Nothobranchius furzeri: one gene and its partners. The protein of the gene in region 1 interacts with the protein of each later gene in a biochemical or structural test. Links are inferred from orthologs where the notes say so. Each region holds a gene or a part of one and is shown on either strand. Other genes may lie near its edges.

Region 1 (9,856 bases):
TACTGTCCTAAATTTGATGTGCAGCAGGTTCTATACTAAACACTCTAAATAAAAAACATTTCTTCTCTACTGCTCAAAGTTAATGAAGGACAAAAGAGGGAATGTGAGCATTAAAGGCTGAGATTTCTATCATCTCTGCTATAAATGAGATACAACACAGAAAAAGGGTCAACCTACCATGAAAATGTAATTTGTGTCTGGAACCTGGCCTCCAGTTCTGAAGAGTTCACACAGATCATAAAACTAGACACCAAAGAAGAGAAGAAGACATTTTTATCTGCCGCTGACTTTTATCCAAAGTAGAACAACAGTCAGACGTACCTGACCATGAATATCTCCACAAACTGTAACAGGTGTAGCAACAGGCTGAACGTTTGATTCTTCCAGCAGCAAATCACAGACATAATCACATAACCTCTACAACACACACACACACACACACACACACACACACACACATCATAATTATTGTTGATGAAGGTCAAGAATGAGAACAACATGGTTCAAAATCAAACCAGTCTGGCTTCTGAACACATTTCAGTACATCAGAAGCCAGAACATTCATGTGCATAAACAACAGCTGGTTGACCAAAGTCCGCTAACAGAATCAAATAAGAAACAAAATTAGAGAAATTCTGATCTCAAGTTATTGAACAGGTAAACTGTGCCATGGGGTTCTCTAAAATAAGGCTAAATATTCAGGTGATCAGCTGGCCGGTATAAAGTCAGAGTGTACACCGCTGTAGGTGATCCCTATGTTAGCTGGTAGCTTTAGCCTACCTCCCCTTTCTCAACTGTTAACATTTTGTTCAAAGCTGATTAATTTTTTCCGACAAAGTAGACACAAATACATCAAATGCAGATTATTATTACCACCAAGGTGTAAATATATTCCTATTTTAAACATGTGTAGTCGCGCCGTTAGCCTCATCAGCTACTAACAAACCTAATGCTAGCTCCAGCTCATTAAACTCACCTTTAAGTCGTTCTCCGGTAAATATTTGCAATGTTTAGCGATTTCTACGTATTTGTCAAGGTCTAAGGGCGCCATAATAAGGAAGGTAAAACTTATATAAAAATACTATGTTAGCCCGCTAGCTAGTTCCTTTTCTTTTCCGTTTTTTTTCTAGCTCTTCCTCAACGATTCCTCAGCTGTAAATCCTCTGATACATGCACTATCGCCTCACAGCGGCTAACAGCGGAAGTGCAATGAGGCAGGAGCAGCCGTAGCCTGGCCTGCGTGCGCGAGGAGAGTCGCGACTCGCGATGGTTTCGCTGCAGACCAGGAGACCGCAGATTCAGACCCACCGCAGATGCAGACCCACCGCAGATTCAGATCCACCACAGATTGGGACCAACCGCAGATTCAGGCCCACCGGAGATTCAGGCTTGTGTTGTTTATGAGACAGCGCGTTCCAAGATGGAGGACGATCAGAGAGTGATGAATGTGAAGCACATTTGTTTAATGCTTTCAAAGTCTCCATACTAAACTTTCAAAACTAAATTTAAATCTCGTTTGACAACAAAATGAACATTTTCTTGTGTTTAAATGGTAAATGGCCTGTATTTGATATAGCGCCTTCTAGAGTCCTGGAACCCCCCAAGGCGCCTTACAACACAATCAGTCATTCACCCATTCACACACACATTCACACACTGGTGGGGATGAGCTACGATGTAACCACAGCTGCCCTGGGGTGCACTGACGGAGGCGAGGCTGCCGAGCACTGGCGCCACCGGTCCCTCCAACCACCACCAGCAGGCAACGTGGGTTAAGTGTCTTGCCCAAGGACACAACGACAGCGACAGACTGAGCGGGGCTCGAGCCTGCAACCGGGATTACGGGGCGAGCACTTAACTCCTGTGCCACTGTCGCCGTCACCGTCGTCGTTTAGTTTGACTCGTAGCAGCATTACTTATCTAACCTTGACTAATCACTACTTTACAGTGTAAAAGTTACAACTCTAGATTCATTGTAAGGTCGGTTGCAAATATTATGTACATAATGCTTTGTACAATCATGCCTAACTTTGATTTTTAGGTTTTTTTTTCTTTTTTTTAATTCAATTAATATTTAAAATTGTTGTATTGGTCTAAATGTTCTGTTTTCATGCCTTAGCTTTATTTTATATTTTATTTAATTTTCATGTTTGAATGTTATTAGTAGTAGTAGTATTTTTTTCTCTTATGTATTTTAATCCTTTGTATTTTCTTTATTTTATTTTTATCCTACATAATGAGTAGCCCTTGACTGCAGTACACAGGGGCGGGCACCATATTTAAAAAAAAACACGTGCGCTGCCTAAAGGCATAGATATGTATATAAACACCGTGTTTATACACATTTCTACAGATATGTATATGAACACCGTATAAACACGGTCATATGTGACCCAATGTGCTGGGTCACATATGACCCAATGGTGGGTTGAACTGACCCAACCTTAAGATTTTCAGCCTCAACTCAACAGTTGGGTTAGCAAAAATAACCCCACTTTTTTAAGAGTGTATAGACTACTGCGTCACAACCTGGCCATTCACTGGAGATACACTTTTAAAACCAACAGAAATATTATTCAAAAAGTCTTTAAAAATCCTCGATCAAAAGCCTTTGTCACTTCACCACTGTAATATTTTGGAAAAGTATAACATGCTCAATTTTAAAATGCGTATTAAGTTTAAAAATAGCTGTTTAATCCACAGAATTCTTAATGGATGAGCCCCACCTCCACTTTCCACATATATCAAACTAAGACCGGACAATGGCTTTGGTACCAGAGCCTCCACTAGAGGAGACCTTCAGATTCCCTGCAGGAGAACAACGTTCGGACAAACTGTATCGTCAGTCAGAGGGAGTCAATGTTGGAACCATATCCCAGTGAAAATCAGAGAGTGTGCCACTGATAGAACTAGTGATGTGTCGGTAGCGAACGAGCCGGCTCTAAGAGCCGGCTCTTTGAAGTGAACGACGGGAGCCGGCTCGTCATTCGGAGCCGTAACCCCCCCCCCCCCCCCCGCCTTGGTGAAAGCTACAGGTGACTGGTTAACATGTGTAACTGCATGTCCAGACTGTCCACACACAGAGCAGTAGGGGCGGGGAAGAGGGAGGATCAGACTCAGACAGACACACAGCAGAGCACCTGCGGGTGGAGGGAGACAAGAGGCAATGAGGAGGACGAAAAAGGCGAGCGAGAGGGAGGAGAGTGCGACGAAGACGGTGAGAAAATGAGCGCCAGCAGTCGGAAAGTGGAGATTTCTTAGTGTTCAGTTATTAAATCCATAGAAATTATAAACATTTGACATATTGCTTTTTTAACATTAGTAAATTATTTTACATATACGGTAGTTTAGCATTATTTTGGTTATAAATGTATTCTACGCAACAGAAAATCTGAGGAGCCACTTGGGAGCCGAAAGAGCCGGCTCTTTTTGGTGAGCTGAGCCAAAAGTACCGGCTCTCGAAAAAGAGCCGGAATTCCCACCACTAGATAGAACCTCAAACTAAACCCAGACATGTTTGGACTTGTAGTAACTTGCTTGTTTGTTTTTTGTTTATATTTCTATGTTTTTGTATCTGACTGTTTTTCATTTGTACATTGTAAATTGTTTTATTTAGTCATCCTGTTGAGGAACTGCAGATGTAAATTAGCAATTGTGCTATAATCTGGCCTCTTTACAATGGATACAACGTATGTGATTGTTATTAATGCGCACTGTCCCGAATAAATAAATAAATGAAATGATCGACCACCATCTCCGAGAAAGAGAGGATCACAAGCACAAACTGAAAATAAACGAGTGCGTCTGGCACCAGAAATAAGGGCGCTAGAGTCGAACACCTTGTGTATTAAAACATTTTCACACACTGCAGGTGAGGCCTCGAAGATGGGGACATTTAAGGCAGCTTTCACTAGATTCAAAAGAACACGTATTTGTTTTACCCATTTCTGATAATTATGTAGACGGTCTCTTAACATTGGGAAGGATGTGCAACCCATGCAGGGGGTTGTGGGACTAATATTATAGCATCAGCTGCTCCACTATTAAGTAAAATGACTATAAATAAGCCGATAATGATATGTTTGGTTGATTTGGTCATATTTTGGTGTGTCTGGTTGCTGCTTTGCTTATTAAATTATTAAAAACCAGAACATTTCTACTCCCAGGCGCTAGGGGGCGGTGAAGCCGGTGCGTGATGACGTCACGTCTTTTTACGTAGTAAAAACAAGGCGCGTGTGAGTTGGTGGCGCGTTTAAAGAGTCCAGTTTGGAGAGTAAAGAGAGAAACGCGAGGATTAGAAGTGCATTTTCCCGGATTAGGGTTATTAATCTGAAGCGGAAGGATGTCTCAACACAGGTTTGATGCTTAACTACATTTAGTTCCTGTTTTCTGTCTTATTCGCTTATTTAAACCAAGAAAATGAAACAAGTCGATGATCCGATTAAAATAATCCAGTTAAATAAACGGATCACTTAATCTGATGTCGGACTACTGGGGTTTCCTTTCTAAACTGCTGGTTTGATCATTTTATGCAGATTATTTTTAATGGTGTTTAAAAGCAGCTCTCCCAGTGGTTCTAGCGGTGGGACTTTGCGCGACCTGTCATCATCCTGATGGCGGGCTGGGGGCGGGGGGGTGGGGGTGGGGAGAGTCTTCCTCAGGATGAAGGTCCGGTTCTGGCTGATCAGACCCATCTTGTCCACCTGCAGCCGGACCCTGATGCACCTGCCCTGCTCCAGCCTCCGGAACAAACGGTCCCGGACCTGCCTGGCTGAGGGTCCGGACTCTGAGTGCACCCCCACAGAGTCCATCCAGCAGAGACCACCGCCTCTCAAGGTCCCACTGCTCCTCCCCAGGGGCAAAGAGAACGAGTTTGTGCTGGCCCGGAGGTCCCGGAGGAGGAAAAGCTCCAAGTCAGGTAGGAGAAACCCCCCCACCCCCCCACGCTTCCATCTGGCTGCCTTCAGAAACCTTAAACCTCTCTGATTGGCTGGTTTCTCTCCTCAGGTGTTTCATTGGATCATCTACCTGAGGAGCTGCTCCTGAGGATCTACTCTTGCCTCCCCTTGCATGACCTGCTGAGGATTTCTGGAGTCAGTAGGCGCTGGCAGCGTTTGGCGTAAGAGATCCTGCTGGACCGCACACACACACACACACTCAGAAAACCCAGCTGTGGTTAGGGTCGGGGCTTCTCCAGGGGGTCCCTGATAAGTCCCTGCTTGACCAATCGCACCTGTTCACTCGAGGATTTGTCGCTAACACCAACGATGCTCAGGTCAAGTTCTCGTGCGTCTGCGGGCAGACCCTGTTAATGGATGCTAGATAAGTGAGCATCTTCCCCCAGATGGAGCAAGAATTATTCATTCATGCCAACGAGCACTACAGAGAACTAGAACAGAGCACCGGCTGTTTGATTAGAGCCGTCTTCCTGGAGGCGTTTATTTAGTTTATGTGTTTCCATGGCAACGCCGGAAGTCCGCTTCCGTTCTGTTTCTCCTCGTATTTCATTTGAGTTTCCATCAGTGGGGCTTTGGGCGGAGCAGCAGAGACATGCAGGTGACCTTTGGGCTGGAGGGGATCAGGATCCGGTTCTGAGGTAATCTGTGTGTTTCAGGTCCGATGAGTCTCTGTGGTACAGCGTGGACCTGGAGGGGCTGACCCACGTGGGCCCGGCTCTGCAACAGGTTCTGAGGACCGGGGTCCGCCGGCTGCGCTGCCCTCGAGCTTTTGTAGAGGAACAATACCTGACCGACTCTCGGTGAGTCCGACAGCCCGGATTGGGGTCCGGTCCCAGCAGCAGGTAGAACCCCCCTGATAATGGGTTCTGTTCTGTCCTTCCAGCCCGCTGCAGATCGTTGAGTTGGACCTGTCCAGCTCTATCATCCCGACCTCGACTCTCCAGAACATTTTGGGTCGCTGCAGGCTGCTGCACCACCTGAGCCTGGAGGGTCTGCAGCTCTCCAACAGCATCATCAGGTCTGACTTGTACCGGGTCAGGATTTGGTCTGATTGGTTCTGGTTGTTTCAGACATGAAAATCCCTCACGTAGGGTCACAGCGAGGCCAGCTTTCCCAGTTCAACCAGTTCCAGTATTATCCACTGGAGGACATACTCATGAGCCCCCCCGACACCACCAACAGTAGTGGAAATAAGTCCATCTGAACCGGCGACGCGCTCGAACGCAGCTCATCTGAACCGGCGACGCGCTCGAACGCAGCTCATCTGAACCAGCGACGCTTGAACACAGCTCATCTGGACCGGCGACGCTCCAATGCAGCTCGTCTGGACCAGCGACGCGCTCGAACGCAGCTCGTCTGAACCGGCGACACTTGAACACAGCTTGTCTGGACCGGCGACGCTCCAATGCAGCTCGTCTGGACCAGCGACGTTCGAACGCAGCTCGTCTGGACCAGCGACGCTCGAACGCAGCTCGTCTGGACCAGCGACTCGCTCGAACGCAGCTCGTCTGGACCAGCGACGCTCGAACGCAGCTCGTCTGAACCGGCGACACTTGAACACAGCTCATCTGGACCGGCGACGCTCCAATGCAGCTCGTCTGGACCAGCGACGCGCTCGAACGCAGCTCGTCTGAACCGGCGACACTTGAACACAGCTTGTCTGGACCGGCGACGCTCCAATGCAGCTCGTCTGGACCAGCGACGTTCGAACGCAGCTCGTCTGGACCAGCGACGCTCGAACGCAGCTCGTCTGGACCAGCGACTCGCTCGAACGCAGCTCGTCTGGACCAGCGACGCTCGAACGCAGCTCGTCTGGACCAGCGACACGCTCGAACGCAGCTCGTCTGGACCAGCGACGCTCGAACGCAGCTTGTCTGAACCGGCGACGCTCGAATGCAGCTCGTCTGAACCAGCGACGCTCAAACGCAGCTCGTCTGGACTGGCGACGCTCAAACGCAGCTCGTCTGAATCGGCAACGCTCGAACGCAGCTCGTCTGGACCGGCGACACTCGAACGCAGCTCGTCTGGACCAGCGATGCTCGAACGCAGCTCGTCTGGACCAGCGACGCTCGAACGCAGCTTGTCTGGACCGGCGACGCGCTCGAACGCAGCTCGTCTGAACCGGCGACGCTCAAACGCAGCTCGTCTGGACCGACGACGCTCGAACGCAGCTCGTCTGAACCAGCGACGCTCAAATGCAGCTCGTCTGAACCGGCGAGGCTCGAGCGCAGCTCGTCTGAACCGGCGACACGCTCGAACGCAGCTCTTTTGGACCAGCAACGCGCTCGAACGCAGCTCGTCTGGACCAGCGACGCTCGAACGCAGCTTGTCTGGACCGGCGACGCGCTCGAACGCAGCTCGTCTGAACCGGCGACGCTCCAATGCAGCTCGTCTGGACCGACGACGCTCGAACGCAGCTCGTCTGAATCGGCAACGCGCTCGAACGCAGCTCGTCTGAACCAGCGACGCTCAAATGCAGCTCGTCTGAACCGGCGAGGCTCGAGCGCAGCACGTCTGGACCGGCGACGCTCCAATGCAGCTCGTCTGGACCAGCGACGCGCTCGAACGCAGCTCGTCTGAACCGGCGACACTTGAACACAGCTTGTCTGGACCGGCGACGCTCCAATGCAGCTCGTCTGGACCGACGACGCTCGAACGCAGCTCGTCTGAACCAGCGACGCTCAAATGCAGCTCGTCTGAACCGGCGAGGCTCGAGCGCAGCTCGTCTGAACCGGCGACACGCTCGAACGCAGCTCTTTTGGACCAGCAACGCGCTCGAACGCAGCTCGTCTGAACCGGCGACACTCGAACGCAGCTTGTCTGAATCGGCAACGCTCGAACGCAGCTCGTCTGGACCGGCGACACTCGAACGCAGCTCGTCTGGACCAGCGACGTTCGAACGCAGCTCGTCTGGACCAGCGACGCTCGAACGCAGCTCGTCTGGACCAGCGACGCGCTCGAACGCAGCTCGTCTGGACCAGCGACACGCTCGAACGCAGCTCGTCTGGACCAGCGACGCTCGAATGCAGCTCGTCTGAACCAGCGACGCTCAAACGCAGCTCGTCTGGACTGGCGACGCTCAAACGCAGCTCGTCTGAATCGGCAACGCTCGAACGCAGCTCGTCTGGACCGGCGACACTCGAACGCAGCTCGTCTGGACCAGCGACGCTCCAATGCAGCTCGTCTGGACCAGCGACGCGCTCGAACGCAGCTCGTCTGAACCGGCGACACTTGAACACAGCTCATCTGGACCGGCGACGCTCCAATGCAGCTCGTCTGGACCAGCGACGCGCTCGAACGCAGCTCGTCTGAACCGGCGACACTTGAACACAGCTTGTCTGGACCGGCGACGCTCCAATGCAGCTCGTCTGGACCGACGACGCTCGAACGCAGCTCGTCTGAATCGGCAACGCGCTCGAACGCAGCTCGTCTGAACCAGCGACGCTCAAATGCAGCTCGTCTGAACCGGCGAGGCTCGAGCGCAGCTCGTCTGAACCGGCGACACGCTCGAACGCAGCTCTTTTGGACCAGCAACGCGCTCGAACGCAGCTCGTCTGAACCGGCGACACTCGAACGCAGCTTGTCTGAATCGGCAACGCTCGAACGCAGCTCGTCTGGACCGGCGACACTCGAACGCAGCTCGTCTGGACCAGCGACGTTCGAACGCAGCTCGTCTGGACCAGCGACGCTCGAACGCAGCTCGTCTGGACCAGCGACGCGCTCGAACGCAGCTCGTCTGGACCAGCGACACGCTCGAACGCAGCTCGTCTGGACCAGCGACGCTCAAACGCAGCTCGTCTGGACTGGCGACGCTCAAACGCAGCTCGTCTGAATCGGCAACGCTCGAACGCAGCTCGTCTGGACCGGCGACACTCGAACGCAGCTCGTCTGGACCAGCGACGCTCGAATGCAGCTTGTCTGGACCGGCGACGCGCTCGAACGCAGCTCGTCTGAACCGGCGACGCTCAAACGCAGCTCGTCTGGACTGGCGACGCTCAAACGCAGCTCGTCTGGATCGGTGACGCTCAAACGCAGCTCGTCTGAACCGGCGATGCGCTCGAAAGCAGCTCGTCTGGACCAGCAACGCGCTCGAACGCAGCTCGTCTGGACCGGCGACACTCGAACGCAGCTCGTCTGGACCAGCGACGCTCGAACGCAGCTCGTCTGGACCAGCGACGCGCTCGAACGCAGCTCGTCTGAACCGGCGACGCTCAAACGCAGCTCGTCTGGACCGGCGACGCTCAAACGCAGCTCGTCTGGACCGGCGACGCTCAAACGCAGCTCGTCTGAACCGGCGACGCTCAAACGCAGCTCGTCTGGACCGGCGACGCTCAAACGCAGCTCGTCTGGATCGGTGACGCTCAAACGCAGCTCGTCTGAACCGGCGATGCGCTCGAAAGCAGCTCGTCTGGACCAGCAACGCGCTCGAACGCAGCTTGTCTGAACCGGCGACACTCCAACACAGCTCGTCTGAACGTCTCCTGTGTAGACCTCCATGATAATGTCTCCTTCCTGCTCGTACGGTCCGAGCCTGAACGGAGTACCGACGGGTCGGATCCGGCTTGCTTCCATTTTGTGTCCATTTAATTTGAGCGTGATGAGTCGAGCTAGGACAGAAGAGAGATGCATGGTGAAGACACGCTAATCCGGTTCTGGGCTGAAAGTCCTCGGGTCGCTTCGGTTGGAGGAGCTCAGAACTCTGATCTAGTTTAGCTGTCCGCCTGTAGACGCTCCTGCTGATCTTTGTTCTGTCTCATGAACCGGGCCGACCTGGGTTTGTGTTCACTTCTACTTATACTGGGAGGAGACTTTAGTCCACCGCTGAGTCAGATGTTTTCTTCTGGTTGCTTGTTTCTCCTCAGAGACTGGATGGATGAGGAGATGATAAAAGGGGTCTC
Region 2 (9,957 bases), on another chromosome or scaffold:
TTCCAGGACTTTTCCTGCATGTTTTAGATCATGAACACAGCTGATTTGTTTAATTTAGTGATGAACCACTCCTGTAGACACTAAGGAAGGCTGGGGAGACATTTCAGCTGTTAGACTAAGATGATAAAAAGGTGAACACACAGCGAGGAGGTAGGTTTTACTTTCAGTTCTACTAAATGGACACCAGGGGTGCCAAAAGCAATCCTAGTCTCCCTTTAATGGATTCAGTAATGAGAATGTCCTGTTTAACTATTCAGGAGAGGTGACATAAAAAAGTAAAGTTTCATTATTTGACCATTTCCAGGATGGGTGACTGGTTTGACCACTGAGCCCCAGAAGACAGAAGCTGGTCCAGGAGACGAGGTCAGGATGAGCAAAGAGACCCAGTCTAAAATAGAAACACTCAGGTATCAGAGCTTCTCGTTTGACTATCTGTGATTTGGTTAAAGGAGAATTTAAAGACAAATCTGTTCGAACCCTTTTAGAGCGGAGCTGGAACAGCTGCAGGTTAAAGTGTTACAGGGACGAGAGCAATACCAACAGATCTCTCAGTCCAACACAGCTGTCTCTGCTGTGCCTGTCTTCAGCATCAACGACAAGTTCACCCTCAGCCAGGACGACGCCAGCTACAGTCTGACGCTGGAGGTGCAGACAGCCATCGACAACCTGCTGCTCCAGGTATACGCAGCATATAAGCCCCTCTGAATGAAAAACTATTTTAAAAATGCTTGCTTTTGATCCTGTGTTTCAGAATGAAACGTCTTAAGTGTCATTTTAAATTTGGATTTTTTACACAGAGTGACGTCCCCATAGATCTGCTGGACGTTGATAAGAACTCTGCTGTCGTCAGTTTTAGTGAATGTGACTCAGAGGTGAGCTGTATGAATACTTTCTTTACATAAAACCATCCTGCCTCCGCTCCAAACCGTCTGATGCTTGTTGTTATTTCAGCAGCCTAATGGGAACTTCCTCCTGGCCACATACAGATGTCAGGCCAACACTACAAGGATGGAGCTTAAGGTAAGCAGAACATTGGACTCTTGTCACTCTCTGGTTTGCAGTGAAGCCATGCAGACATGCCTTTAGTGTTTACTTTTGTTTATAAATCTATATTATCACATTAGGTCCAGTTTTCTCTGATTCTGGTTGCTTTTACTTTTTACTTAATCACTTACCATACTTGTTCAAAGAAAAGCTTTAATGCAGTGTTATACAGATGTTCTATTAAAAATTGTTACCTAATCTACTTTTTAAACCTGTTTTATAAATAATTGAACACAGAATAAAATGTTTAATCCCAAACTGAAACATTTTTATAGGTGAGATCCATTGAGGGACAGTATGGGACCCTGCAGGCTTATGTTACCCCCAGACTGCAACCAAAAACCTGTCAGGTTCGGCAGTATCAGATCAAACCACTGTCCCTTCACCAGCGGACGCACAGTATAGACCCAGACAGGTAATGATTTTAGTCTATATATACGGTATATACATGGATTTCAGTTATTCAGATTTTCTGATTAGAGCAGTCATTACTAAAAATGTATCAAATGACAGCATGGAATTATCTTGAGGCATAAGATTGCCAAAACTTATTAATAAACTCGATATCAAGAATTATGCATTTAGCCGTATTTATTAAGAGAATTGCTGTATAGCCTTCAACAAGACTACACTACACTACATTTGGCTTTTGAGAAATTGTATTATTTCCTTCTGTATGTGTTTGTTTGTTTCCGTAATCTTAGAGATTTCTCATTATAATTAGAGTTAACTCAGTAATGTGATCTCTCATTTGTTTTCTTTCAGACCCATGAATCAGCTCAATTTGGTGGGACAGTTCAGTTTTGCAGAGATTCATTCCTGGGTGGTTTTCTGTTTGCCAGAGGTGCCTGAGAAAACTCCGGCAGGCGAGAGCATTACTTTCTACTTCTATAACACATTCCTTGGCACACAGCTGGAAGCCACCTACAGGTAAATGCATGCACAAAGTAAAATAATACTGCACTCCATCTGAAATAGTACTTCAGTTGCGAACGAGTCTGAATGTCTCATTTCAGCAAAGGGGAGGGCCACTTCAAGTCCGACAATATTTCTACTATCTCTATACTGACTGATGTTCTTTCCAAAGAAGCTACCAAGAAGAAAATCAATCTAAACATTTCATACGGTATGTTTATTTTTCTTCTGTTTCCGGATAAGCTGAGACGTCTTTTGCCATCATTCAGCGACATAGAACAACATGTTTATTGATCTACCAGATATTAATGACGACTCCGTGAGCCACACCCTCAGGATGATCCACCCAAAGCTGGAGTATCAGTTGGTGCTGGCTAGAAAAGTTCAACTTGTCGATGCTCTCAAAGTAAGTTTTGGTTAAATGTGTTTTGTTGCTGTTTATTTATGATTCAGTTCATTATAGTTGAATCTATGTTTCCTAGGAACTTCAAGTTCATGAAGGAAATGCAGATTTCCTCATCCCAGAGTACCGCAGCATTTTGGATGAGTCTGCTAACCTTCTGGAGGAGTACAAGAAGCAGCCAGCCCACCTTGAAAGGCTTTACGGTAAAGCTGGAGTAAAAAGAACTAACTTTCACTGTTGATTAATTTTTGTTATTGTTGCTTTTTGATTTTCACTTTATAAAGTTTTGTGTGTATTTCTGTTTTCCTGCAGGAATGATCACTGACCTCTTCATCGACAAATTCAAATTCAAGGGCCAAAATGTGAAAACAAAAGTGTCCTCGTTGTTGGAGATACTTGATAATTACGAATTAAAGTCACTCTTAGACTTTTTCAATGAGCCATGATGCCATAATGGCCAAAGATGATCTATCTCTGTGACGGTTGTTGTGTTGCAATCTTTACATGACGATAGTTCATCTTTGAGACTGTGTTATTTTGTTAAATTTTATTTAGAAATAATTTACTCTCCCTTAAGAGTTGAGTAATAAATTACTTTTGATGTATTAAGGCGTACTGCAAATGGTTAGGAGAATACTGCAATACTCTTATTTTCATGCAAGAATTTGATGGAATTTGTTACAGTTATAGTATGTGTGTCAAATGCTACTCAATTTAATATCTAATCTTTCTGTATTAAACCAGTCCTTGTGCAGTAACTTGTCAGTAAAAAATAGCTAACACACCAATTGTTTTCAATTTTATTCCATATTATTTACATCTTAATGTAATGTACCTCATGCTACAACAGATTCGTCAAGAAACAAGTTGTTGCTGTATACTGGGTTAGGTACTTCCATGTGGATTTAAGTTTTATACACAAATTTATCTAATCAGCATAAGTGGTCATTCAACCTAATGTAAGAATAGGACACATGAAAAATAAAGCCAAACATAAAAATACAATAGTATTTAAACATTTTAAATTATAGTCTTATGAGTAATTTCTTAAACTAAACATATGTGCAAGTCTTTCAGTAAACAAGTATACTGGTGGACCTAGAAATGACCTCAAGCACGAGCCCTAGGTTAGGAAGACGTCTAAGTATGTTGAAGTGCTTCTAATGATATAAATATACATAATTGTTGCAGCAAAGATTTTTATTCCAAATGCGTTAACGTTGTTGTTACTCGCGTTTAACTTTGTATTTGGGATCTTTTTTTCAAACCGGTTTTAAATTTGCAATTAAAGTTTTTTGTCCCTCCTCGCCTCCTACACTTGTAATACGTCAGTTCCTTCGCGGTCTGTGATTGGTCGGTTTCAATCATCGCGGGCTACTTGAACTCTCTAAGTGTTTGCATGAAAATGCATCGACAATAGCTGCTGTCATTGTGCAGGTTTGTACCGGATACAAAACTTATAAATAGAATGGCAACTTAGTTTTTCCTTAGTTTTGCCAACCCGATGTCAAAGGTGCACGTTTGTTTTTATTTGCTTTGTTCTAGCGCTGCAGTTCCAAGTGCTGTTGCCATCTCAACAGTTTAGTTCTGATTCACGATTCAGTCTGCTGTGCAACAGCTAAAGCTCGCTTCGACATAACTGCTCACACGCCATCTTTTTTAGCCTTTTGATTTGTAAGCTTTCCTCTTTTTTTCGCTCTGTGAGGAAGCACACTACGGTTGACCACTGCTTTTTTATTTATTTGTTTTTTTGTTAAAAAAAGTGCGGAGAAGTGGATTCTCTCTTGGAGGGTGGAAACATGTCAGGAGCTAACAGGCAAGGAAATGCGGCTAGTGAGCTCCCCAACCATGAAAACATGCTTTCAAGGCTCAGAGGGTCGCTTAAACACCGAGCTGGTGAAAACCAAGAAAACCAGCCTCCCAAACAAGCCGCCAACAGAACCGTGCTGGGAGCCCTGCAGAACAACCATCGGAGCAAAGCCCAGAACCAGCGAGGCGCTAAACAGGTAACAGGCTAGCAACCTTGGCCTAAGCTAACACCTAGGCAGGCTCTGAAGGCAACTAAAATGGTTACATTTGGATGCAAGTACGTTAATTAGCTGCTTTAAGCGCCTTTTTAAAAATGAAGTAAAATGACATGTTATGTTGCTCTGTTAAGTTTCCCCTGCTTTCCGCCATTTTAATAACCTTATAGCCCTTGAGTTGCTTTGTTCTAAACACAAATGTGCTTCTGGAGAACCTCCCGTCTTCATTTACTGTATTTAAGTCAATTTACACAAGATTTTCTTTGCATTTACAAGTATCCTGTAACCGAGACTTAACACAGAGGTAAAATTAATTTAGCATAATCTGTAGACTTCTTTTATTTATTTTTTTACACACCTGCATGTTTTTCGTGTTCTAATAAAGGGCATACATTTTGGGTCCTTCCTAATACATTTTGCTATTGTAGAGTTAAACTAATTAATCACCAGCTGGTCTGAGAAGAGAAGTTTTTGAAATACTAATTTATTACCTTTTTAATGTAGTATTAATAGTTAATAATACTTTATAATATATTGCTTCCACTGAGCCTCACATTAACAGAAATGCAAAGAAATTTGCTATATTTGAATCACATTTTCCACAGAAGTTTCTAATTCACAAATCAAGTTTTGGCAGATGTCTGTACATTACAGATTTTTTTTTTTTTTTTTGTTCCAGGAAACATCACAGCCCTTGGCTTGCAAAAATGAAGATTTTAACAAAATCCTTGTTGAAAGACCTGTTAAGCAGCCAGCTTTCCAGATCCATGTGGATGAGCCTGACGTAGCCTGTGACAAAAAGCATGTGGCTGAAACAAACAAAGCGAAGCCCACAGTGGAGGAATCTCCTCTGGTTGTCAGTCATGCTGTGGCACGACTCCGACAGCCCCTGGCAGTGATCGAGGTTCCGGTTCCGTTAGCCATGGATGTCAGCTTTGGTGGGTTAATATTCAATTCAATTCAAAAATACTTTATTAATCCCAGAGGGAAATTGATTGCTGTAGTAGTTCAGTTCAGTTCACTTTATTTCAAACATATACATTCACCAACATTTCATAAAATCATTCCACGCAATTGTTTGAAAAGGAGTAGGGAGAAGTGTATACTTATTTAGCCCTACCCCTCAGGTTTACATCCTCATCAAAATTTAAACAACAAAACAGTTACAATGCCTTCAAAAAAAAAATAACAATAATAATAAATAAATAAAATTATCATGTTCAACTAGAACTACATTTAGATTTTCTAATTTGTAGAATAGATTAAACATCAGTTTGCATGCCGTCCTGGGTTAATTGCATTTTCTTCATTCTTATACTTATTTAACATTTCTTTTTTGAGTTTTATTTTAAACTGGTTTACATTACTACTATCCTTTATTTCTTCTGTTAACTCATTCCAGAATTTAACGCCCGCTATTGAAATAGACATCCTTTTCAATGTTGTCCTTACTCTTTGTACTTTTAAATTCCACTTCCCTCTAAAATTATACATAAAAATAACTCAGAATAATAATAATAATATATAATATTAATAATATTAATCAAGTCATCAAAGAGTTATTGTATATCACAATGGCTGTTGGCAGGAAGGATCTCCAGTAGCTGTCAGTGTTGCAGCAAAACTGAAGAAGCCTCTGACTGAAGACACTCTTCCATTGTCGGGCAGTCTTGTGAAGAGAATGCTCAGGGTTGTCCATCATTTTCTTGATTCTCTGGAGAATCCTTCTTTGCATTATCTCCTCCAGCGGTTCCGAAACTGCCGAAACTCTGGCTGAGTCCTTGAAAAGGCTTGGAGTTCCTCCATCCACATTGCCCATTATGATCGATGGAAGAGATGGTTTGAATTTCCTCTTTCTCTGTCTCCGTCCCGCTCTGCACCCACGCTTCTTGCGTTTTAGCTCATTTGGGATTTGTGGCTTCAGTTGAGGTATTATTTCAGTCTTTCCAATGTTAATCAGTTGCTCCCGATTGTAAACCAGACGGTTGCCATGGTTACGCATCACAACATGCTCAAAGTGAAAAAAGCTAAAAGTAGCAGTAAAAATCCTCCAAGCTTCACAGCACCAGAAACAGAAAAGTGTCCAAAAAATAGTTTTTCTTGAGAAACTAGAAGAAAAAATGCCCAAGAAAAGGCTAAACTTACATATAGTCAACAGCTACTCCAACATGCAGCCACCCAGAGCAGCGCAGTTCCGGGGAAGAAAAAAAATTGACTTTCCCTCCAATAGTTCATTATTACGCAATAAAGTGTTAACTTTGACATGTTAGTCAGCTTTATTGTACTAAATATAGACTGTTTTCTCTCCAGATTCTCCCATGGACATGTCTGTGATAGAAGGGGATCAAAAACCTGTGGCTGTAAATGAGGTTCCAGAATACGCTCCAGAGATCCACACATACTTGAGAGAGCGAGAGGTGAGTGCATTAATCTATTATCTAGATGTTTTTTTTTTTTTTTTTTTTTTTTTTTTTTAGATACAAATCAGTTTAATCTTCTCTCTGTAGACTAAAACCCGACCTAAAGCGGGCTACATGAAGAAGCAACCCGACATCACAAACAGCATGAGGGCCATCCTGGTGGACTGGCTGGTGGAGGTTGGAGAGGAGTATAAACTCCAGAACGAGACGCTCTATCTGGCCATCAACTACATCGATCGCTTCCTGTCCTCCATGTCTGTTCTACGGGGCAAACTTCAGCTTGTGGGAACCGCCGCCATGCTCTTGGCTTCGTACGTGGTCTATGTGGTAGCTGTGTTTGGACTGTAAAGTTTACCACGTTATATACATTTTTATATTTCCCTGCAGGAAATTTGAAGAGATCTACCCTCCTGAAGTGTCAGAGTTTGTCTACATCACAGATGACACGTACACAAAAAAGCAAGTGCTAAAAATGGAGCACTTGGTGCTGAAGGTGCTCTCCTTTGATCTGGCTGCTCCCACAATAAACCAGTTTCTCACTCAGTACTTCTGTCACCATTCTACTGGTAAACAGGTGGAAAGTTTGGCAATGGTAAGAGCCAGTCACGTGGTGCACCTAATCCACACTTGAGCAGACTAGTTTTATAAGCAAATCATCGTTATGGCATGTTTAACGGAGGAACTTTTCTTTCTAGTACCTTGGGGAGCTCAGCCTGGTTGATTCGGATCCGTTCTTGAAATACCTGCCATCCCAGACGGCCGCTGCAGCCTACGTCCTGGCTAACAATACGCTTACTGGAGGATCCTGGGTAAAACTACTGTTAGACTGTAGACTACACAGTCCCTGTGTGGATCTCTTACTGCTGATTCTTGCAGTAGATTTAATTATTCCATACTGTTTTGCAGATGTTGATGTTGAAATGACTTTCTTCTCCCCTCAGCCTAAGCCATTGGTGGAGATGACCGATTACAGTCTGGAGGATCTGATGCCGTGTGTAGAGGATCTCCACAGACTGTACGTCGGTGCCACCCAGCACGCCCAGCAGTCTGTCCGGGAGAAGTACAAGGGCTCAAAGTTAGCTTCTGATTCACCTACATTGTTTCTGTTGTGTGAAGTTGGACATCACTTATCTATGGTCTTTTTTTTCCTTCACAGGTACCATGAGGTTTCCTGCATCAGCTCGCCAGCTAAACTGCAGCTCAACTAGCTTTTGCTTGTTGGCATGCGTACCCTTTGTCTGTCTTAAACTTAAAAAAAAAAAAGTTTTTTTTTTTTTTAAGATTTTTTTTTAAGCTTCTGAGTTTAATATGTTCTGCACATTCTGGAGTGATGTTAGATTTGGAGGTTTTCTATATATTTTTTTATATTCTGAATCCCAGTGTTCGACAAAACAGATTTTGTATAATGAGGCAGTTTTTAACAAGACAAACCTTTTACCACTCTTAACACAAAAAGGGCTGCTTTTATCAACTGCATCAAACTTTTTAAGGCCTGTGGTTTAACCAGAACCTGGGTTGTGGCATTTTTTTTACACTTTTCTGGGGCTGAGTCTTTTAAAAACAGCTTTTGCCAATTTACCACTTTTTCTTCCTGGAGGTGGACCCAGTTTGACCTGTTGGGATGCAGATTTAAAAGTGTTAATCCATTCATCTGATTGCATGGATGCCTTGGAAGAGGCATTTTCTGCACTGTAAAATATAGCTCTTGTAAATAAAATCCGTTTAAAATGAGGAATGCCACATCTGTATCACGTTGGACTCATGGGGGCAGCAGAGGCCATGTTTTCAGCCATGGACGGATGAGGACAGGTCTGTCAAACATCTCCACCTCAGTCCTTCTAAAGGGTGTGTTCAGTGTGATTTCTTAAATCAGGATTTCATATCACCTGTTAACATGAGGCTGTAAATGTTTGGGGAACAATAAAACTCCATGGATGAATGTTTGCAAGTGGATTGTGTCCTCATTCCTGGGCGGTTGAAAGATGTTTCTTTTACTGTAAACATTGAAAATTTAGTATACAACACAATCACCCCCCCCCCCCTATTTTTTTATTGACTCAAATTTTCACAGAGAGTGAGCTGAAGGCAGCCAATGGCATTGAAGGTGTCTCACTTGCTCTTTTATGATAAATAGTGGGCTGGCTTTGAGCGAGGCATCTAACGGAGAGAAAGCAGAGCCCAGCTGCGCAGAGGATTTTTATCATGTAAGACTCAACGGCTGTGCACCTCCTCAACAGGTTTGCTGTCCTGCACATTTTTCAAACTGGAACAGAATGATGGATTTCTTTAACACATCCTAATCAGTTGGATACTTGCTTGAATAATGGTTCCTACTGCACACCAGGAACAACCCAAGAGAAGATCCAAGTGTGGATAAAGCTCAGTTCCTGAAGGTGGAGAGGGCAGGTTTGCTGCCTGAAGCCAATGCCTGCGCCCAAAAAATTTCTGGTGACCTCCACCTCGCTGCCCCTGGCACTGGGCTGGGGTTGGAACCTGAGTCTGTATGTTGGGATGCTGTTTGGTCTGCTTTTGCTCATGATGATGCTTCTCTGGATGCTCTTTAAACAGCTCAGGAACTCTGTGGGAAAATCGATGCTGCAGCCGGCTCGCTCCTTCAGACAGCCTTCTGACCAGAGGCTGCAGCGTGTGTTGTGAAGAGACAGAACTAAGACTGGGACTTGGTGCCTTTACAGACTAACGTTGAATTTTTTTTTTAGTTGGTCTCAACTGACAATAAAAATGAATCTTATTTACAGAAACCTTTGTCTTTTTCCCCCTTTTAGCAGTTTTCATGTGTTTTTTTTAGTAATTAAAAATAATTAAATCTTGTGCAGAAATGATTTCTTTTCATCTCCACGGTGCATTTGCTCAGCCAAGCTGAAACATCTTTAATGACTGAGTAAAAAGCAGAGGACACGATTAAATCTGCATCCTGATTCATGGTGATTAAAGTGATGCATTCATCAGGGCCATTTGCACTCCTCTTATCTTATTGTTAACGTGCCAGAAGCATGCTGAGTTTATCTACCAATGAAATAAATGTAAAGAGGCGGTCACTGGCTTTTTAAACCCCACGCCCGTGCTGGAGGATGGTGTAAATGAGATGTTTGTGGGAAACAATCCCAACAGCAAGTGCTCACAGGTTTGATGC
Region 3 (9,880 bases), on another chromosome or scaffold:
ACCTATCTGTGACCTAAAATGCTTGGTCCAAGTTAAACAGCAATTCTCATCTGTTTTGTTTGATCTCATCTGTAGACATTTATTATAATTGGGGATGTCAAACAACTAATTTTTAAATGTAATTAAACATAGGCTGTGAATTAATCAAAATTAATCACTATTTCCAAAAATGACTGAAAAAAATACCAAATAAAACAAAAGTAAATGAATGCCATCCTCCTTGTGATGATGCCCTGGGCAACTGCCATAAAGTCACATCAAGAAATGCTGCTGATCATTCCAATGATCCCAAATAGACTCACATTAGGCCACATGAAAGCAACTGAACCCAAAAATATATTAACCAGTATATAACTGCACTCTCACACAACACGCCTGCAGCAACAGTTAGGACTCCTCCCTCCCTTTTAAAAGCGTTTTCGCTTCTGAGGACATTGTGGTTGCAAAGCCACATGTTAGTAGTCTGGCCCCGGTGTGATCAACCAGTTTCTGCGGGAATGTGACGGCGGAACCGGTTCACAGCAGCGCGACCCCCCCCCCGCGCCTATCTAATAGCGTTGCGCTTACGATTTTATAGACTGTTTTTTTACGAGCTTAGGGCATGTCTAGCCTGTGTAATAATCCGGGGCTTGGGTGAATAACTTTTGAAATGTTTTTAACTTACCTGGACACAGGGCTCTCTCCTTCCTCGCTGATGATTCCGACATGCGTTTAAGATGCTGCATCATCACCGTAGTACTCCCGTGCCATGTTAAGTCTGACCTACAAACGTTGCAGGTAACGAATGTCGTCGCCTGATTTAACTGAAAATGCTCCCAAACTTTTAGAAGTTTTCACTTTTTTGGGTCTCGCTGCTTCTGCCATGTTCCTCTTCCAAACACCTGCCGGCTCTCTCTCGCGCTGAACTGACTTGCTCCGGTCTGCGCTCAACGGCGGGCAGGAGGGAGGGGAGGGGGGGCCTTTTGGAAGAGTTGTGCGACACAACGAATCGATGAAGCAATTTGTTGCCAACGCTTTTAGTAATCGATTTTCATCGAATTTATCGATTCGTTGTTGCAGCCCTAAAAAGCAACCCTGGCTTCAGCGAGTCCATCTACTGACCTTTATGTCCTCTAGCAGATCGTCCATGTCGGTGACAGTCAGCCCATTGAGGAATGTGTATGGTTCGTGCATCTCCACGGCCAGATCATCATCCTCAGCACTGATGTACTTTGCCAGAAGGTCGATGGGCTTCGCACGGCCATCGCGAATCCTAATCTTGGATCTGAACACAAAGGAGCAGGTTTATAACACATAAAGGCCTAGATGCTGAATAAGCCTGACACAGAAACAGAAACGATGAAGAGGGACCTTAGTTTGGCCTGCTGCAGATGGAAGTTGTCCTCCTGTTCAGCCCAGGTTTTGAAGTGCTCTGCCTCCTTCTCTCTCTGCAGCATTTCCAGCTCCGTCTCCCTCATGGCTTTTTCTCGTTCCCGCTCCAGCCTCAGCTGTTTCACCTGAATAAACACAAAGCTGCAGCCACTAAACTTCAAAATTTTGATTTAGATTCAAAATCACCCCAAAACTCATACCTTCTGCAGCTCTCTGCGGTTCTCCTCCTGAATACATTTGTTCCTTTCTTTAAGATCTTTTTCACCAAGATGGCCGATACCCTTCTTATCCAGCGCCTGAGAACAAAGTATCCTGATGAAAGTCCTTTCAAGACTTAAAAACAATCAGCCACAGATCTGGGAAAGGAACCCACCTTCTGCCATTTAAAGGTTCCTAATAGGTTATTGTCACCAAAAGGATTGTCTGCGTTGGTGTACCCCATGTATTCCTCACTCCACCCCATCTTTTCTCTCCTTTTTTTCTCCTTAGCTTCTTTCTTCGCCAACCTTCTGGCTCTCTTCTCCTCTGGCGTCTCCAGTGCTTTCATCATCTCCCTCTTGTTCTTCCTCTCAGTTTTCTCTTTGATTGCTCGGCTCTCGCAATCTGACCCTGAACTCTCAGATGACTCGGAAGAACTGGGGCTTTGCCTCCCTCTGTTCCCATCAGCCCTATCTCTGCTCCTCTTACTCCTCCCCCTTTCCCTCTCCTTGCTCTTCCTTCTCGTCCAGCTTTCGTCCCTGTCTTTTGTCCTTTCTCTGTCTCTGCTGTTGCTTCTCCACCGCTCCCTCATCTGTCTGTCTCTGACTGGACTGTTTCTTCTCCTCCTCCTTTCTCTTTCTCTGCTTGCATCACTTGAATCAGAGGCAGACTGGGACCTTCCCCTTCTTCTCTCGTGGGATCTACTGCTGCGTTTCTCCATCTCTTTCCTTCTCCTTCTCATCTTGGAATTATCTGAATCAGGACTGAGACAAAAATAGAATTTAGTGTGAAAATTAAATGAATATAAACGCATAAATTATGACTAGTATCAAGAGATCATTTTATAAGCCTTTTACAGTGTTTAACACCTATTCTATATATAATCTAGGAGTGTTTAATGATCTATTGGATTACAACGGTTTTTATAATTAATCAAAGTAAAATTCGTTTCAACCTGCTTCTAAACAGTTACATGCAGACATTTACTGTAAATATAGTGTTTAAAAACACCTGTCGCAATAACCACCTGTGGGTTACACCCACCCACCACCTATAAATATGACTTATTGGAGGAAAGATGATGAAAATCTGCCAATCTCAAGCGACTCTCTATTCTGAATAATAGATCACAAACAAAAATATATTTTGACTGTGGCGACTTTCTTCATTTTTTGCGCTGCGTGAGTCAAAAACAAGTTAATGTGTGAATCTCAAGTTGGACGAGTGAAGCTTAACTAACAGACACAACCTTTTATCGTACTGTAACATATTGTGTTAAAATTACCTCGATGCACGATCCTTTGATTTGCTGCTGTGGCGCGGCGCTCTTCGACATCTGTCCCCCTCCGATTCACTCCTGGACCCTGATCGGCCCCTATGTTGAGGTCGGGCCCGAGAGCCATCGCTCGAAGCCTCGCTGCTGGATCTGCCTCGACCCAGTGTGGTCCTTTTCGGGCTCGGAGACCTGTTGCGACCTCTCCTCTCATCTGGAGATCGCGACCTGTTTACTCTGGACTTGTTTCGGTGATCTCTGCCCCGACTTATGGACCTGGAACGAGACCTACGCCGTGTTTTCGAACCCATCACGAACTTTCTTCTTTTCGGGGCCCTAAATGCAGTCTGTCGCGTAAATAGGAGGCATTGACGAAACACTGTTGATTATAATAACGTTTACAATCGCACTAATAAAAACATATGTCTATGTTTAATGTTCGCATACTCTAACGTGTGCTATGACAGAAAAAATTACGTGTCAGATTTCTTTTATAAAAAATCCAAATGTATTTAGTAAGGCAAAGAAAAGCTAGCCTAAATGGGCTTTCCTGAGCACTGGCGCAGATTAAAACGTCACAGCCACTTAATAAACTACAAATTAGCCACAAATGAACGCAGGATTGTTTTTCTTACAATTTAGTTATGTCGGTGATAAAATACTATTATTGATGTCATAGATATTTCGTCCATAGTAACCGCTACCGTATTTAAACAGTTTAACAGGAAAATGCAAGCACAAACAAACTTATTTTTCTTTTTGGGCATTTAAAATAAAAATAAAAACATCATAAATAAAAAGAACAGGAATTATATTATACCAGGGTTTTCAGTTATTTTGGTTTCACGTTTTTTTAATCTAACAAACGCGGAATGAAAGACTACCAGTCCCAGCCAACAACAGGGCGCCATTACCTGTTTTTACCAGGGGACTCTTTCAGCAACACATTTCCTTTCGCAGCTTTCTATGAGGGCTAAACAATTATGGTTACTGGAGGTATAGTTTGGCGTAGTGTCACATGACTTTTTGCGTTTGTCTTTTCAAATTGCCATTTTATGTAGTTATTTTGTGTTTTTGCGGTAATTACGTCGCTCCAGCTGGTCAATTAGACGGAGCTTGTTAGCTTTCCTTAGCTAACAGTAGATTTAAGGCTTATATCAGCTGCTGCTCTGCCAGGTAAATCAGCCAAAGCTGTTGAGCCTCTCAGACACAATGTGTTTCTCGTTTATAACATTACTGAGTTTTGACATTAATAACGTTTAATTTGGGAACAGACCAACCGCAGTCTTTGTTTTGCTTTTACGCGCGGTCGGCCTGTTTTCTTTGCCTCCGAACATCGAAAAAGGAGAAGTTGTGCTGTTTGCTGGCTTGGCTAGCTTAGCCGTGTAAACAAAAGCTGTCGCCTCCAGATAATCCTGAAAGCTTCATAAATCATTATGGCGCAACACGACCCTTCTCATGTAGCTAGTTCGCAGAAAGCTCTCATGTTGGAAATGAAGAGCCTCCAGGAAGAGCCTGTGGAGGGATTTAAAATCACTCTGGTGGACGAGGCTGATTTATACAACTGGGAAGTCGCCATTTTTGGTCCACCAAACACTCATTATGAAGGGGGATATTTCAAGGTAAGGTTGTAATTAAAATCAGATGACATATAAGAAATGACCGTAGTTTAAAAAATAACAAGATGTCCCCATTTTCCCCCCTAGGCAAGGATCAAGTTTCCTACAGATTATCCTTACTCCCCTCCTGCTTTCCGCTTCCTAACCAAAATGTGGCATCCCAACATCTATGAGGTTAAATATTGACGTGTGTGTACTCATAACAGTGTATTTAATTTGAATGAATGCATCTGATGATGGAATGTATTTGTTTCCCCTCTTGTAGAATGGAGATGTGTGTATTTCTATACTGCACCCTCCAGTGGATGACCCGCAGAGCGGAGAGCTCCCATCAGAGAGATGGAATCCAACCCAGAATGTTCGGTTAGCATTTCTCTTTCTAATCATATTCTCTCTATACGTTTCTCCTTTCTGGTCTCCTTCCATCTTTGTCCACTTTGCAATCACTTCAATGGTTCACCCAGCGCAGACTCTTATCTTATGACATTCATTATCAGCAGCATCTTCTTCACCGGCTGCAGCAGCCAGCAGTAAAGCTAGATCTGCATCTTCCTCTTATTTACAAACAAAATTAAATTGATCTTTGGATAATATCATACTATGCAAACTAAGATTTTGTTGGTTTATTTCTATGAAAAACATACTTTGAGTACCTTAATTCATTGTGACTCACAATAAGTGTATCGCATGAGTTTGACAGCATTTTGCTGCAGAAGAGGGAGAAAATGCATCTTTATTTATTATAAACTTCCTTCTGAGGTTATTTGTCAGGCTCACATTATGCAATCTGTGCACAAAAAAATGTATCTTTGATCTTTTTCTGTAACTGAGAGCCAGATTTCTATTCAACAAGAAACTATCTATGTAAAAGCCACCACAACGATGTCACACTCACAAGTGATATTAAACCTGTGATCTGTAGTAGTCGAAATCACACAACTTCAGCAGTGTTACAAAGATGTAAGCTCTGGTGGTTTCGGTCACTTGATGCAGTGCAGCTCTTATGTTTTTGTTGTTGCAGGTGGTATACCGTTAACCTAACCTAATTTCCTCATTTGCATTTTTGCTGCAGACACATTAGATCTGTAGATCAGGAAGTCTGTCACAAAGGCTGTTCCTTTGGCCACAAACAGAAGCAGCTTCTTTCTGTTTCCCATAACGACTCACTAAAACCTTACTCACAATGCTACGTTTTATAAATGTAATGTAAAGGCTTGTCAGTGCGCATTGTGCGCTCTGCTGAGAAGGTGATTGGCTGCAGCCCTCCATCTCTCCAGGACCTGTACGTCTCCAGAACTCGGGGGCGTGCAGGCCGGATAACAGCTGACCCTTCGCACCCGGGTCACAGACTTTTTGAGCCGCTTCCCTCAGGCAGGAGGTTACGGTCCATCCGGACCAGAACCTCCTGCCATAAGAACAGCTTCTTTCCATCTGCCGTTAGACTTGTGAATAGATTATAAACACACAACCATGCTGGTCTTCTGTACTCGACACAACGTCACGTTATCGGCCATGTTACCATTACCTGCCATTTTAGCTGAAAGTTTTATTCTAGTTTTTTTAATTATTATATTTTATTCTATTTTATTCTATTTTTAATCTTATTATTCATGTTATATGTAGCACATTAGTGCCGAAGCAAGTTCCTAGTTTGTGAATTGTTTGTTCACTGAAAATGGCAATAAACCTATTCTGATTCTGATTCTGGTAGGGTGGTAGCACATGGGTCTGACAGGTTTTTTTAATACATGTTTTATCAATTAGCTTTAAGTTCCTAATGTAATATGTGCTTCATTGTTTATTCTAATAAAATAGTAGATGAAATAAGTAATTTAGGCTTGTGACATTAAAATATTTTTTATGTGTTTAAAACTTTTTAATTCACCTAAAGTCGTTTTCTTATGGTTCTATACTAAGTTGCCTTTGTTTTTTGCTTCTAGGACCATTTTGCTGAGCGTGATCTCGCTGCTAAATGAACCCAACACCTTCTCCCCTGCCAACGTGGACGCCTCTGTCATGTACCGGAAATGGAGAGACAGCAAAGGCAAGGACCGGGAATATGTAGAGATCATCAGGTAAACATTAGTGTAATGTTATTTAAGACAAACCTCAAATATTTCTAAAAGATTTTCAAAGCCACACCATCCACACAAAAGTAATTCAGTCTTCATAAAACAAATCCCTTCAGGAAACAGGTGCTGGCCACAAAGGCAGAAGCAGAGCGAGATGGCGTGAAGGTGCCCACCACGCTAGCTGAATACTGCGTTCGTACACGCGCCCCGCCGCCAGACGAAGGCTCTGACCTCTTCTATGACTATTACTATGAAGACGATGACGTGGAGGGGGGAGACGGCGACTGTTGCTATGACGAGGATGACTCGGGCAATGAGGAGTCGTGACATTCTTGTTGTCAGAAAACCCAACCTAGCTGACGAATGCTCATCCTTTAACTCTTCCTGGGTTGCCAGATATTCTTGGTTTGCAACCAAGAGAGATTGGAAGCTTCCTTCTAAATCAGTACAAGAGCTTTTTTCCTTCAGCCTCAGAGGTTAAAACTGATGCCTCGTTGCGAGAGGGTCAGACTGTGGTCACTTTTGCACCAGCACAGCCACCAATTTTTTTTTCCAACTTCGAGAACTTTTCATCACACTGAAGCTTACTTTGCTCACAAAATCCAGTCCTGGTTTTAGTATGAAATATTTTTGGTTGGGTTTCATGATCACTGAACTGGTGCAAACTCTTAAACCATCACTTCACCTGTTTTGCATAGCTGTATTTCTCTAATTGTAACTGGGGGTGTCTCACTGGTTGTCCGCCTCGTGGTGGAAACTTTTACAGACTTCAAGATGGACAAAGGACTGCAAGTGTCCCATATTTTACAGTTTCTGTCTTTGATTGGCAGGACATGGAGGAGTTTTCATGGACAGTATGTTCAAAGTTCTCATGCATGCCAGAACTTCTTTGAAAGCTTTTTGTCTTTTTATTTTTATTTTTTAAATTGGTGGACTGTTTCCCAACGTCATGAGAGACTCGTGGCAATGGAGGGCCGTCCCGTCTGCTGGAGTCTGCTGAGTCAGCTCCTCATATGAACATTCTTACTAAAACATGAAATTGATCTCTGCTGGGTTTTTATCTTGGATGTGTTTTTCTGTCACTCAGTGTGGGGTTGTGTTTTTTTGAATGAACTTGTTATTAAAGTTGTGTAATAATCAAGTTGTTGAAGGTTAGAGGGGCAGAACTAATTATTGATTAGAATTGTATTTCTCCTCAGCGTTGCTCTCTGAGCCGCCTGATGGACCCGAAGAACTAAAGCAGAGTGTAAATTAAATTTTAATACGCTTTGCCAGATGTTTCTCTTTTTGCTTTCTTGCAGGCCCTATGATTTTAGTTTTTCTTTGTTAGATGTTCGGCATGCACTGGAATAGGTAGTCTTGTGTCGGTGTGTACTACCGAGATCAAACTTCTTCAGCCCTACAACTGAAAATGAAATGTTAGCCCCCTTTATTGATTTATTTTTTTGTAAGAGTGGTTTTGATTTTGTTTTTAGAGTGTGTGGATGTCCTATGTGTAATTTTGTCTTCAGTAAGCATTATTGTTTTATTTACTTTAATTGGGACATCATATTGAATTACTCAGGATAAAATTATACGCGACAAAACAATTGAGACGAGCAACTCCTTTCCTCTTTCGGTGGTCTTCAGTGTCAGTTCACAGCTTCTACAGGAACCATAATCCAATATGCACACGTATGAATGATCACCATATGGTTTTACTTTTCTGTCTGTTTTTTTTTTCTCAAATATTTAAAAATGAAAAATAAAGATTAATTTGAAAGAAAAATGCATACTGTTTTTAAAGCTTGGAGTCATTTAAATGATTTTTTAAAAGTTGTTCTGCAGGTGAAGATGGAAGATTTTTGTTTAGTTTTAGTCTAAATGTAGTCATTTTACAGATATGTTTGAGAATAAATGTCCTTGTTTGTGGAATGTCTGATCAGGTTAAATCCCATTTTTAAAAGGCACCGAACCGTTTTGTTCTGTGGGATTTTTCAGTTTTTATTATCAGACTTTTTATTCTAATATATTCAGTTTCATTGTGTAATTTGGATTTAAATTTTTACTCAATTTCTAACAGCTGTACGGTCTAATCTAATCTCTACCACAAGTCTAAACTGGTCTGAACGAAGGTGGAGCGCACGTTGAGGTATTTTAATTCCTGAAGTTCTTGAATGCAGCATGTGTCGGCGCACAGTGATGTCGTCATTCAAACGAAGCACCCTAAACCTGGCTGGAAGAAATACGCAACAGATAAAACAAGAACAGTTTGTAAAACAAAGAAAAAAAAAATAAACAGTTACAGTCATGTCTGTGAACTACGCTGCAGGACTATCGCCTTACGCGGATAAGGGTGTTTGCGGTCTACCTGAGGTAACATTTAGGTGTTGTATCGCTCCGAGAGCTTTTCAAAGAGCTAGTTAAATTAGCAACGTAGCGTCGCTTTCATTGAGAATGCATTTTTGTTTGGTTCGTTTAAGAGTAATAATATAAAGACGGTGTTGTAGAGCAGACCGTCTGTGCTGTGTTAGCCTCTTTGTTATTTAACATAAACACTATGAAGCACGGTGGAGGATAGATGATGGTGTGTTCTTTTGTTGTTGCCACACATCTGGCACGGTTGTATACAATAGTCGCCCCCTTGCTAATTGTTTAATTGTGTGTTTTTGATCTGTGCCAGAGTTTTGATAATCCGGAGGAGCTAAAAGCAAAAGTGGAAGCCCTCGCTCAGCTGATTAAAGAATCTCAGTACTTGGTTGTCCACTCTGGAGCTGGAATTAGCACCTCAGCAGGCATCCCTGACTTCAGGTGAGAGACAATATGTTTGTTCCTGCTAATGATTAAAAGCATTCTAGCGGATTTTTCCATTTGATGTGATCACACACACCTGAATTCGGATCTTCCACTCATCAAAGTGGTACAGCTGGTCCTCATTTGGTAGATTTCTTAGCTTTTATTTTGTCTTTATGACTGTAAAAGAGTAAATCTTGGTTCTCATATGTGCAAACTAATTTTGAACAACTTAATCAGCTTATGATGGAAGATATGTATTGTTTATGTTTATGTATTTAGCAGACGCTTTTGTCCAAAGCGACTTACAAGTGATAATCGGCATGTTGCCCCTGAGGCTAACAACAACAATAACAACAACTTGACATCAATAATTGTATTGTATTGTGTTATTAAAGGTGTGGAACACTGGAAACCATTTTTTAAAATCGTATTTCTGATTACAATGGGTCACTCAGAGTTTTTCATGCAGGCTGAACATGAAAATAGTCTCCTACACCTATCTCCTGCATTGGCATCTGATAGAAAATAGATGGTGAAATGCTAGGTTTTTAAAAGCCTGACAGATCTACATT

Evidence for each region.
Region 2: the proteins of skp2 (region 1) and ccna2 are reported together in a solved structure, tested with the Homo sapiens proteins (2 studies listed by BioGRID, with this or other methods). The link is inferred for Nothobranchius furzeri from reciprocal best matches to the Homo sapiens genes SKP2 and CCNA2.
Region 3: the proteins of skp2 (region 1) and cdc34b form a complex in vitro, tested with the Homo sapiens proteins (3 studies listed by BioGRID, with this or other methods). The link is inferred for Nothobranchius furzeri from reciprocal best matches to the Homo sapiens genes SKP2 and CDC34.

Annotation. Positions count from the first base shown.
Region 1 is NC_091746.1:70,418,838-70,428,693, reverse strand, and holds the start of skp2 (S-phase kinase-associated protein 2), read left to right. Parts: upstream 1-4,212; 5' UTR 4,213-4,342; coding exon 4,343-4,356; intron 4,357-4,709; coding exon 4,710-4,918; intron 4,919-5,007; coding exon 5,008-5,119; intron 5,120-5,614; coding exon 5,615-5,758; intron 5,759-5,841; coding exon 5,842-5,976; intron 5,977-9,856. Other genes in the region: ppp6c (serine/threonine-protein phosphatase 6 catalytic subunit), read right to left, coding at 178-243, 322-417, 977-1,051. UniProt on the Homo sapiens protein: Substrate recognition component of a SCF (SKP1-CUL1-F-box protein) E3 ubiquitin-protein ligase complex which mediates the ubiquitination and subsequent proteasomal degradation of target proteins involved in cell cycle progression, signal transduction and transcription.
Region 2 is NC_091741.1:74,290,925-74,300,881, forward strand, and holds ccna2 (cyclin-A2), read left to right. Parts: upstream 1-3,698; 5' UTR 3,699-3,799; exon of another isoform or gene 3,800-4,125; 5' UTR 4,126-4,161; coding exon 4,162-4,368; intron 4,369-5,065; coding exon 5,066-5,324; intron 5,325-6,696; coding exon 6,697-6,803; intron 6,804-6,893; coding exon 6,894-7,117; intron 7,118-7,193; coding exon 7,194-7,398; intron 7,399-7,501; coding exon 7,502-7,615; intron 7,616-7,747; coding exon 7,748-7,881; intron 7,882-7,962; coding exon 7,963-8,014; 3' UTR 8,015-8,749; downstream 8,750-9,957. Other genes in the region: bbs7 (Bardet-Biedl syndrome 7 protein), read left to right, coding at 305-407, 486-678, 798-872, 952-1,020, 1,320-1,459, 1,810-1,974, 2,061-2,170, 2,262-2,365 and 2 more. UniProt on the Homo sapiens protein: Cyclin which controls both the G1/S and the G2/M transition phases of the cell cycle. Functions through the formation of specific serine/threonine protein kinase holoenzyme complexes with the cyclin-dependent protein kinases CDK1 or CDK2.
Region 3 is NC_091751.1:57,905,559-57,915,438, forward strand, and holds cdc34b (cell division cycle 34 homolog (S. cerevisiae) b), read left to right. Parts: upstream 1-4,278; coding exon 4,279-4,464; intron 4,465-4,548; coding exon 4,549-4,635; intron 4,636-4,726; coding exon 4,727-4,824; intron 4,825-6,401; coding exon 6,402-6,536; intron 6,537-6,649; coding exon 6,650-6,860; 3' UTR 6,861-8,305; downstream 8,306-9,880. Other genes in the region: splicing factor Cactin, read right to left, coding at 1,102-1,264, 1,351-1,496, 1,572-1,667, 1,745-2,333, 2,855-3,153; sirt6 (NAD-dependent protein deacylase sirtuin-6), read left to right, coding at 8,823-8,888, 9,196-9,323. UniProt on the Homo sapiens protein: E2 ubiquitin-conjugating enzyme that accepts ubiquitin from an E1 ubiquitin-activating protein, and catalyzes its covalent attachment to other proteins by an E3 ubiquitin-protein ligase complex. In vitro catalyzes 'Lys-48'-linked polyubiquitination.